2 linked regions of the Macaca mulatta genome follow. Each later gene encodes a partner of the first gene's protein in a complex. Links are inferred from orthologs where the notes say so. Each region holds a gene or a part of one and is shown in the gene's direction. Other genes may lie near its edges.

Region 1 (4,086 bases):
GTTTCTGGCAAAATCTTTTACTAAGAAATAAATGCGACGTAGTTTTTATTTAATTCAGCAGTTATATCTCTGTAAAAAATGCTACAATTTTTTTTCCACTAGAGGCCTCAATAAAAGTTACACTGAATATACATTTTCAAATAGTTTTTTATACTAGGAAGCTAAGGTAGGAAAGATAGTCTCATTGTATGATAAAAATAAAAACTTCCAAGTATTCTTGTATTTATTGCCCTGCTTTAGACCCTAGAAAGGAAAAAAAAAAAAAAAAAAAAAAAAAAAACAACTTAGATCCTACATAGACTACTTAAGCACTTAAGAAAAATAAGTCTTCCTCCTGCTTGTGAGCTCACACCCAGAGGATGGCCACACGCTGCTTGTTGTCAGCAGCTTCAGGGAGTCTCTTCATTGGCCTGTAGAACCCACTCCTAGTGGCAGCTGGAAGAGTGCATGGATCCCTTCTCTTTGTTGAGACTTCCCTCCTAGTTGGAACTGCAGTGTCTTTTTCTCCCTGTTCCTGTTAGGTGGAATGGTTCTTTCTCTTAGCAAAGTGGTCTTGCTCCTGGCAGCCCTCTTTAAGACCTAAGAATGTTCTTCCCTAGGTATGAGAAAAGGTTTTCTGTAAAATCTTCAGAAGACACAAAGATGGGATTTGAACCTTAGTTGTAATCCCCTGAGAGCCAGTGGGGAGGCTAATGTAGACAGAGGAGCAGCTTTGAGATCCGTGGCATCCTGGGACTTGCTCCAGAGGCTGTGTCTGAGCATGTCTTTCTCCCACTGGGAACCTGGGAGAGATCGCCCATTAACTGCCAGATGGCCAGGATGCTTCCTGAGAAAGTGAGCTGTTAGTTACTCACACATTTACCTGCTCGTGTGGCCAGTGGTGTTTGCTCCAAATGTACCACTGTACTGTTAGTCACTGGAATGGAAATGTCTGCTTTCAGTAATGTCAGTCTTATTGTTCCTATTATTATTTATCAAGTCATGTTGGGGGCTTTTTTATTTTTTAACTTTTATTTTACATTCAGGGGTACAGGTGCAGGATGTGCAGGTTTGTAACATAGGCAAAGGTGTGTCATGGGGGTTTAGGGCTTACTTTTTTATTCAAGAAAACATTAAAGGATGCTCCTGGGTCTGTTTTAGGAGGTGATGCAGGATTACCGAGATGAGGTCAAGGACTTCTTTGCAGTTGACAAACAGCTGGCATCAGAGCTTGAGTATGACATGAAGAAGTACCAGGAACAGCTGGCTCAGGAGCAAGAGCTAGCAAAGCATGCAGATGTGACTGGGACGGCTGGAGGTGCCGAGGTGGCACCTGTGGCACAGGTAGGTGTGGGGCCCACTGTGCTGTGACCAGGCAGTCCAGTCTGCTGTCTGCTACCAGTCTGTTGTCTAGCACCTCTCAAAATCTCCGTCATCAGAGGTTAGTCAGCCCAAAGGCCTCGAGAGTGCTGCTTGTTGGCTGCTCCCTTGTGCCTTTCTGTCTGTGATGGATTTACTGTGCTCCAGACCTCCCTTCCACGAGGATGTGGTGCAGGAAGTGAGCTGGCAGCAGCAGAGGCTGGTGACTATAGATCCTAGGTCTGCCAGGGTGTGTCAGTGTGTTCGCATCTTCCCCCAGCACGCCCTCTTGAGAGCAGACTGGCCCATGGCCATTTCTAGGGAGAGCTGCTGCTCACTGTCCTGAGGAATGCAGGCAGATCTCTTGTAGGAAAGACCAATGAGCACAAAGTAGCGTACTCCTTTTTCTCTTATGTCATGCCACAGCATCTACAAGTGGCAGCTTTCTCACAGTATTCTGTTTCTGAAAAGGAAATTCAACTTACCCAGCGTTGATAAGGCTTCAAAGTACATTGCTTATGGACTTGCTTATAGTATGTGAAGATTGTATTCCAATAAAAGTGTTAAAATGGAGAAAGGGAATGGCTTGTACACTGTTGGTAGGGATGGAAAATAGAACAGCCACTATGGAGAACAGTATAGAGGTTCCTAAAAAACTAAAAGTAGAGCTACCATATGAGCCAGCAGCCTCGCTGCCGACTGTATAGTCAAAAGAAAGGAAATGAGGATGTCGAAGACATACCTGCACTCCCATGTTGATTGCAGCACTGTTCAAAATAGCAAAATTTGGAAACAACCTAAATGTCCATCAGTGGATGAATGGATAAAGAAGATGGGGTGCATATATAAAATGGAGTACTTTTCATCTATAAAAAGTGAGATCTTGTCATCTGCTGCAACATGGATGATTGTAGAAGACATTATATTAAGTGAAATAAGCCAAACACAGAAAAACAAAGATTGTATGTTCTCATTCATATATGTGAACCAAAAAAGTGGATCTCTGGGAGTTAAGAGAGTGGATTTTTGGTGGTTACCAGAGGCTGGGAAGGGGTGGGAGAAGGGGGATGAAGAGAAGTTGGTTAATGGGTACCAAAATACAGTTAGATAGAAGAAATAAATTCTAGTATTCAGTACAGTGGAGATATTATAGTTTAACAATTTACTGTATATTTCAAAGTAGATAGAAGAATTGGAATGTTCCCAACACAAAGAAAAGATACTCATGTTTGAGGTGATAGAGATCCCAATTACCCTGATTTGATCATTACATTGTACACATGTATCAAAATCGCACATGGACCCCCTAAAACATGTACAACTATCATATATCAATTTTTAAAAACTTAAAAAGTATTAGAAGGTTCATACTCTTTATCTTCTCCGCCAGGTTGCTCCATGTTTAGAAACAGCGCCAGTTCCTGCTGGCCAAGAAAACCCCGCCCTGTCACCTGCCGTGAGCCAGCCCTGCACACACAGGGCAAGTGCTGGCCACGTACCGGTGGCATCTCCTGCACCTGAAACTGGGCCGTTGCAGAGGCTGCTGCCCAAAGCCAGGTAAAGAGCCCCTGGAGGCCACATCAGGGCTGGTTCTCTGGGGCGATGTTCTCAGAGGCGTCCCCACCCCTCCCACCAAGCATGGGCAGGACAGGCACTGTCATTGTCTGGCCTGCCACCCCCTCCGCACTCTGCCCTGGGAGGTTTGAGTGAGTGTGGGTGAGGGATGCGCCAGAGAGGAGGCACGTGGGGACGGGGTGCAGCACTGTCACCTCTGCAGTGAGAAAGTCAGCGCGTGGCTGTTCTCCACAGACCCATGTCCCTGAGCACCATTGCAATCCTGAATTCTGTCAAGAAAGCTGTGGAGTCAAAGAGCAGGCATCGGAGTCGGAGCTTAGGAGTGCTGCCTTTCACTTTAAATTCTGGAAGCCCAGAGAAAACGTGCAATCAGGGTAAGCCAGACATAGTAGAGCATTTACAGATCAAGACACAGAACATGACTACTTCTCATTCCTTTCAAAACGGTTCGTTTTCTTATCTTTAAAACAAGTAACATTAATTGGGCTTTTAGGATCATGGGTAATAAAACAATGCATATTTATTCTAGGAGATTTGGAAAATAGAGTGAAAGATGAAACTTACCCATAGCAGTGAGGCATTCCTTCCTCCAGCCATTCTGTTCCTCTTACACACGTGTTTTGTTTCTGGAATTGTGATCTGTGTGTGCGTTGTTTTATGATCTGTTTCCCTGCATACTTAAGTCAGATGTAGCTTCCATGAACTTTTCTTTCAAACCTTTGCTTCCAGTGGCTTTACAGCATTGTGTCTGTGGAAATAACTTATTTATTACTATCCTGTTCTTTGAAATGTTGATTTTCAATTTTTTCATGTAAATACTGGCACAGTGAACATCCTTGTACATATAGCCTTGTATGTATGTAATCCTTGGGATTAATTCCCAGCGGTCAAAGGCCACGGATATTTTAAAACGTTGGATAGTGTCAAACTGTCCTCTCTCACTCATGCCAAGTTAGACTCTTTTATTTTTTTGAATCCTAATGAGAATGGACATTTTTTCTCATGTTTATCATTTATTTGTATTTCTTCCTGAATTGCCTCTTTATAAGAAAATTTTAAATACTAGCAGTTTTAACTTGATGTCTTGCAGGTATGTTTTCTCATTTGGTGGTTTTGATTTCATTGTTGTTTGGGGGTATTTCTGGACAGCTACAACTTTTCTGTTCTATCCTA
Region 2 (3,792 bases), on another chromosome or scaffold:
TAGTGAGACCTCATCTCTACAAAAATTTAAAAATTAGTTGGGCCTGATGACCTGCGCCTTTTGGTCCCAGCTATGCAGGAGGCTGAGGCAGGATTGCTTGAGCCCAGAATTTGAGACTACGGTGAACCATGATCATACTACTGCACTCACTCCAGCTCTGGCAACAGAGTGAGACCCTGCCTCTTAAAAAAAAAAAGGAAAAAAAAAAGAAAGAAAGAAAGCTGAAATAATGACCTGGGGCTGAGAAGCCAGCATTATTTCAGAATATGAACAGAAGCCCATATAGGATACCAGGTGGGTTGGCGGACAGGGCAGTTGTGGCCTTGGGGTATTGGAAACCCTTAGAGGGTCTTGGGATTCAGTTAATTCTTAGTATGTCTATAGGAGGTCTCTCCACCACTAGGGAAAATTGCTTCCTTCTCTAAGTAAAGAGATGATGGGTGAGCCACACAGATAGAATTGGCCATCATTATCAGTATACTTGTAACATTAACGAGATATTTTCCTCCCTTATTGTTAGTTGGGGGTAAGGATGGGGTCACTGTGAATGCAGATTAATTACTAATCAAATTTTGATTTTGGTCTGTTTCTGTTTCATATATATTTTCAGGAAAATTATTATTATTTTTTAGGATTCACTATGTCCTCATTCTCCCAGCCAAGAGTATCTCTTATTGAGTGTTCTTGATGAAGGGTAGATGGACCCCCTTTTACTTATTGTTTCAGTAATAATAATATAGCTGCAGTTTACTAAGCGCTGAGGACACTCTAAGTATTATACTGTGGTTCTGTGTGGTGTAGTTCACTTTGATTCTTCCAACAGTCCTGTGTTCGTTTTGCAGAGGAAGAAACTGACTCTGAGAGCTTAACTCCTCTCCTCTGTGCTATGTCGGCTGTTGGGCTACAGAATCTGATTGGGTCTGGATTTGGCTCAGTAGCCTTAAAGCTTCCTTTTTTTTTTTTTTTTTTTTTTTTTTTGAGATGGAGTCTTACTCTTGTTGCCCAGGCTGGAGTGCAGTGGCGCAATCTTGGCTCACTGCAACCTCTGCCTCGTGGGTTCAGGCTATTCTCCTACCCCAGCCTTCCGAGTAGCTGGGATTACAGGCGCCTGCCACCATGCCCAGCTAATTTTGAATTTTCAGTAGAGACGGGGTTTCACCGTGTTAGCCAGGCTGGTCTCGAACTCCTAACCTCCGGTGATCCAGCCGCCTCAGCCTCCCAAAGTGCTGGGATTACAGGGTGAGCGACTGTGTCTGGACATTTTTTTTTTTTTTTTTTTAAATAGATGTAATCTTGCCCTGTTGCCCAGGCTGGAGTGAATGCTTGCTGTAGCCTGTAACTTGGCCTCACACAGTCCTCCCACCTCAGCCTCCCAAAGGGTTGGGATTACAGGCATGAGCAACCACGCCCTGCTGCATTTTCCACTGAACTATACTGTCTTCCTCAAGATATTCTGATTTTGTTTTATAACATTTTCTCTGAATAGTTTCCTTCTCTTGAGATTTATGTTCAGGATACCAAGTGCATAGAGTTAATTTTTTTTTTTTTTTTGTTTCATCAGTGTTGTTTTTTAAAGTAGATTCAATTCGTGACAGCATATGATTTTGTTTATCCTGCTTACTGGCATATTCCCAGGGTCTAGATTGGCACTGGGTACATAGCAAGTGCTTAATAAATATTTGCAAAGTAGTAAAATGTTATATAAAACTTTTGTAACACTTATCAAGTAATTTTCTGTGCCCCTCAAACATGAGGCTGGTTTAAGTTTTCCCTTTGAACATGGAAAGAACTACCATGGTTCTTCTTGACCAGCTTTGATAGTAAGTTATTAGAGTTTACGTAGAGACACTTTCAGAATTTATAGTGTTCACATGTGCTTTGGTTTGTTTTTCTCCTTTTGCTCTTAGGATGATCGCTGCAAGATCCCTTTATTCATGCTAATGTCCTTTATGCCGGCCTCTGCTGTCCCTCCGTTCAGGTATTTGCTCTGTTCTTCCGTGCGGTAGTGAAGTGGCAATCCTATCCATTGTTGTGCTGAGTTACTACTTCATGTCAGCAGACCAAAACATTTAGCTTTCAGCTCATTGTGGCTTCTTCCTTCTGCCCTTCCCTCTCCCTGTGGTAGGGAAAATATCAGGATGTGATTTTCAGTGGCCCTAAGTTGGTACTGATGAAAGCAGAGACTACATATGGAACTGAAACTGTTACTCCACCTTAAGTCTGGGGTTATTCTTAGCACCTGGTGTGGGAGGTTCTGGAGCACAAGGCCACCGTTGGTCACATGTGACCCTGAGCACCTGAGCTTTGGCCATCTGAGCTGAGATATGCTGTGAGTACAAAATACACATGGAGTCAGCCTTGGTGCAAAAAGAAGAGTGTGAAATATTGATTACATGTTAAAATGATTTTGGATAGATTGGATTACATAAGATTATGTTATTGAAATTAGTTTCACCTGTTTTTCTTTGTGTTTTAAAATGTGGGTAGTAGAACATTTTTAATTACATTTGTGGCTTGCATTTGTGTCTCACATAATTTATTAGAGCTCTACAATGTTGGTGATTATCTCAGTAAAAATTATGTTTATTCATATTTATGGAAGAAAAAGGAGTATTTTGATGCTAAACAAAAATTATTCTTCAAGAGTAGAAACTCTTGCTCTAGAACGTGACAGATGGCACAGAAACAGAAGGATGAGGGCTTTGTGTAGCTGCTGTGCCCTGCTCCTTCAGCGTCCAGAGCTGATCTCAGGTCTTGTGGTGGGATGCAGCTGTGTAGCAACTGTGGGAAACTGTATTTATTCCCGCCTTGGAGAGCATGAAAGTGCTAATATAATAACAAGGGCTTATGCACCGTCAGATTTTAGCTTCTTGGTTTTCCTCACCTTTTGACAAAGTGGGGGAGTTTCTGTTGAAATACTCAACCTGATTTTCCATCTGACCTTGTCAGCTGTGGTGTGATTTCCACGCTAAGAAGCCAGGAGGAGGGCGCTGTGGACAAGAGCTACTGCACTTTGTTGGATTGCCTCTGCTCCTGGGGGCAAGTGGGGCACATTCTGGAGCTTGTGGACAACTGGCTGCCCACAGAGCATGCCCAGGCCAAGGTAGGTTAACATCATGCTTCTTTAAAATTAGGTGAGTGAGGATAACTGTGTATTAGAAATGATATGCTTTTCTAGGGACATGTGTTTTCATTATCAGTGTCTCTCTTCTTTCAGAGCAACACAGCTTCTAAACGTAGGGTGCAGATCCACGACACACGCCCAGTCAAACCTGAATTGGCTTTGGTCTACATTGAGTATCTGCTGACTCATCCAAAGAATCGCGAGTGCTTGCTCTCTGCTCCTCGAAAGAAACTTAATCATCTTTTGAAAGCCCTTGAAACATCAAAGGTAACTCTGTGCCCTGAGAGTTGAGTGGTCTTGTATGATAGTGGTGGTGGCAAATCAAGATGTGAAGGTTTCATATTTCCAGTGCTATACAAGTGTTCTGGCTGCAACAGAATTGAGAGTGATCATGTCACCTCATTCAGTTGGTACAAGGCATGGAACCTGGCCGGGGCAAGGTTGGGAGTCAAGTCCCAGTTGACATGTGTTCAGAAATCTTGCATTTCTGTTGCACCTGCTAGGGTGCTAGGACTCAGGAGGATGGCCCGAGTTTCTCAGAACACACCCTCTGCTGGAGATACGTCACACACCCTTTCATGTGGACACTCAGTCCCTGCAGTCCTTGGCAGTTTTTTCTGGGAATGTTTGGAGAACATTTTTTGGGAACCCATCATGTTCCCAGCTGT

What was found. The genes of interacting proteins can lie anywhere in the genome.
Region 2: the proteins of NCAPD3 (region 1) and NCAPG2 are in contact, whole or in part, in a cryo-EM structure (PDB 9F5W), measured with the Homo sapiens proteins. The link is inferred for Macaca mulatta from reciprocal best matches to the Homo sapiens genes NCAPD3 and NCAPG2. Residues at the interface, in NP_056076.1 of Homo sapiens: Glu1213, Lys1216, Ile1217, Pro1218, Leu1220, Gln1247, Ser1250, Glu1251, Tyr1254, Lys1258; in NP_001268861.1 of Homo sapiens: Phe291, Lys332, Pro333, Ile334, Trp336, Lys340, Ala341, Arg342, Arg347.

Annotation. Positions count from the first base shown.
Region 1 is NC_133419.1:134,390,207-134,394,292, reverse strand, and holds part of NCAPD3 (condensin-2 complex subunit D3), read left to right. Parts: intron 1-1,140; coding exon 1,141-1,323; intron 1,324-2,728; coding exon 2,729-2,895; intron 2,896-3,147; coding exon 3,148-3,287; intron 3,288-4,086.
Region 2 is NC_133408.1:198,087,226-198,091,017, reverse strand, and holds part of NCAPG2 (condensin-2 complex subunit G2), read left to right. Parts: intron 1-1,907; coding exon 1,908-1,978; intron 1,979-2,949; coding exon 2,950-3,103; intron 3,104-3,217; coding exon 3,218-3,391; intron 3,392-3,792. UniProt on the Homo sapiens protein: Regulatory subunit of the condensin-2 complex, a complex which establishes mitotic chromosome architecture and is involved in physical rigidity of the chromatid axis.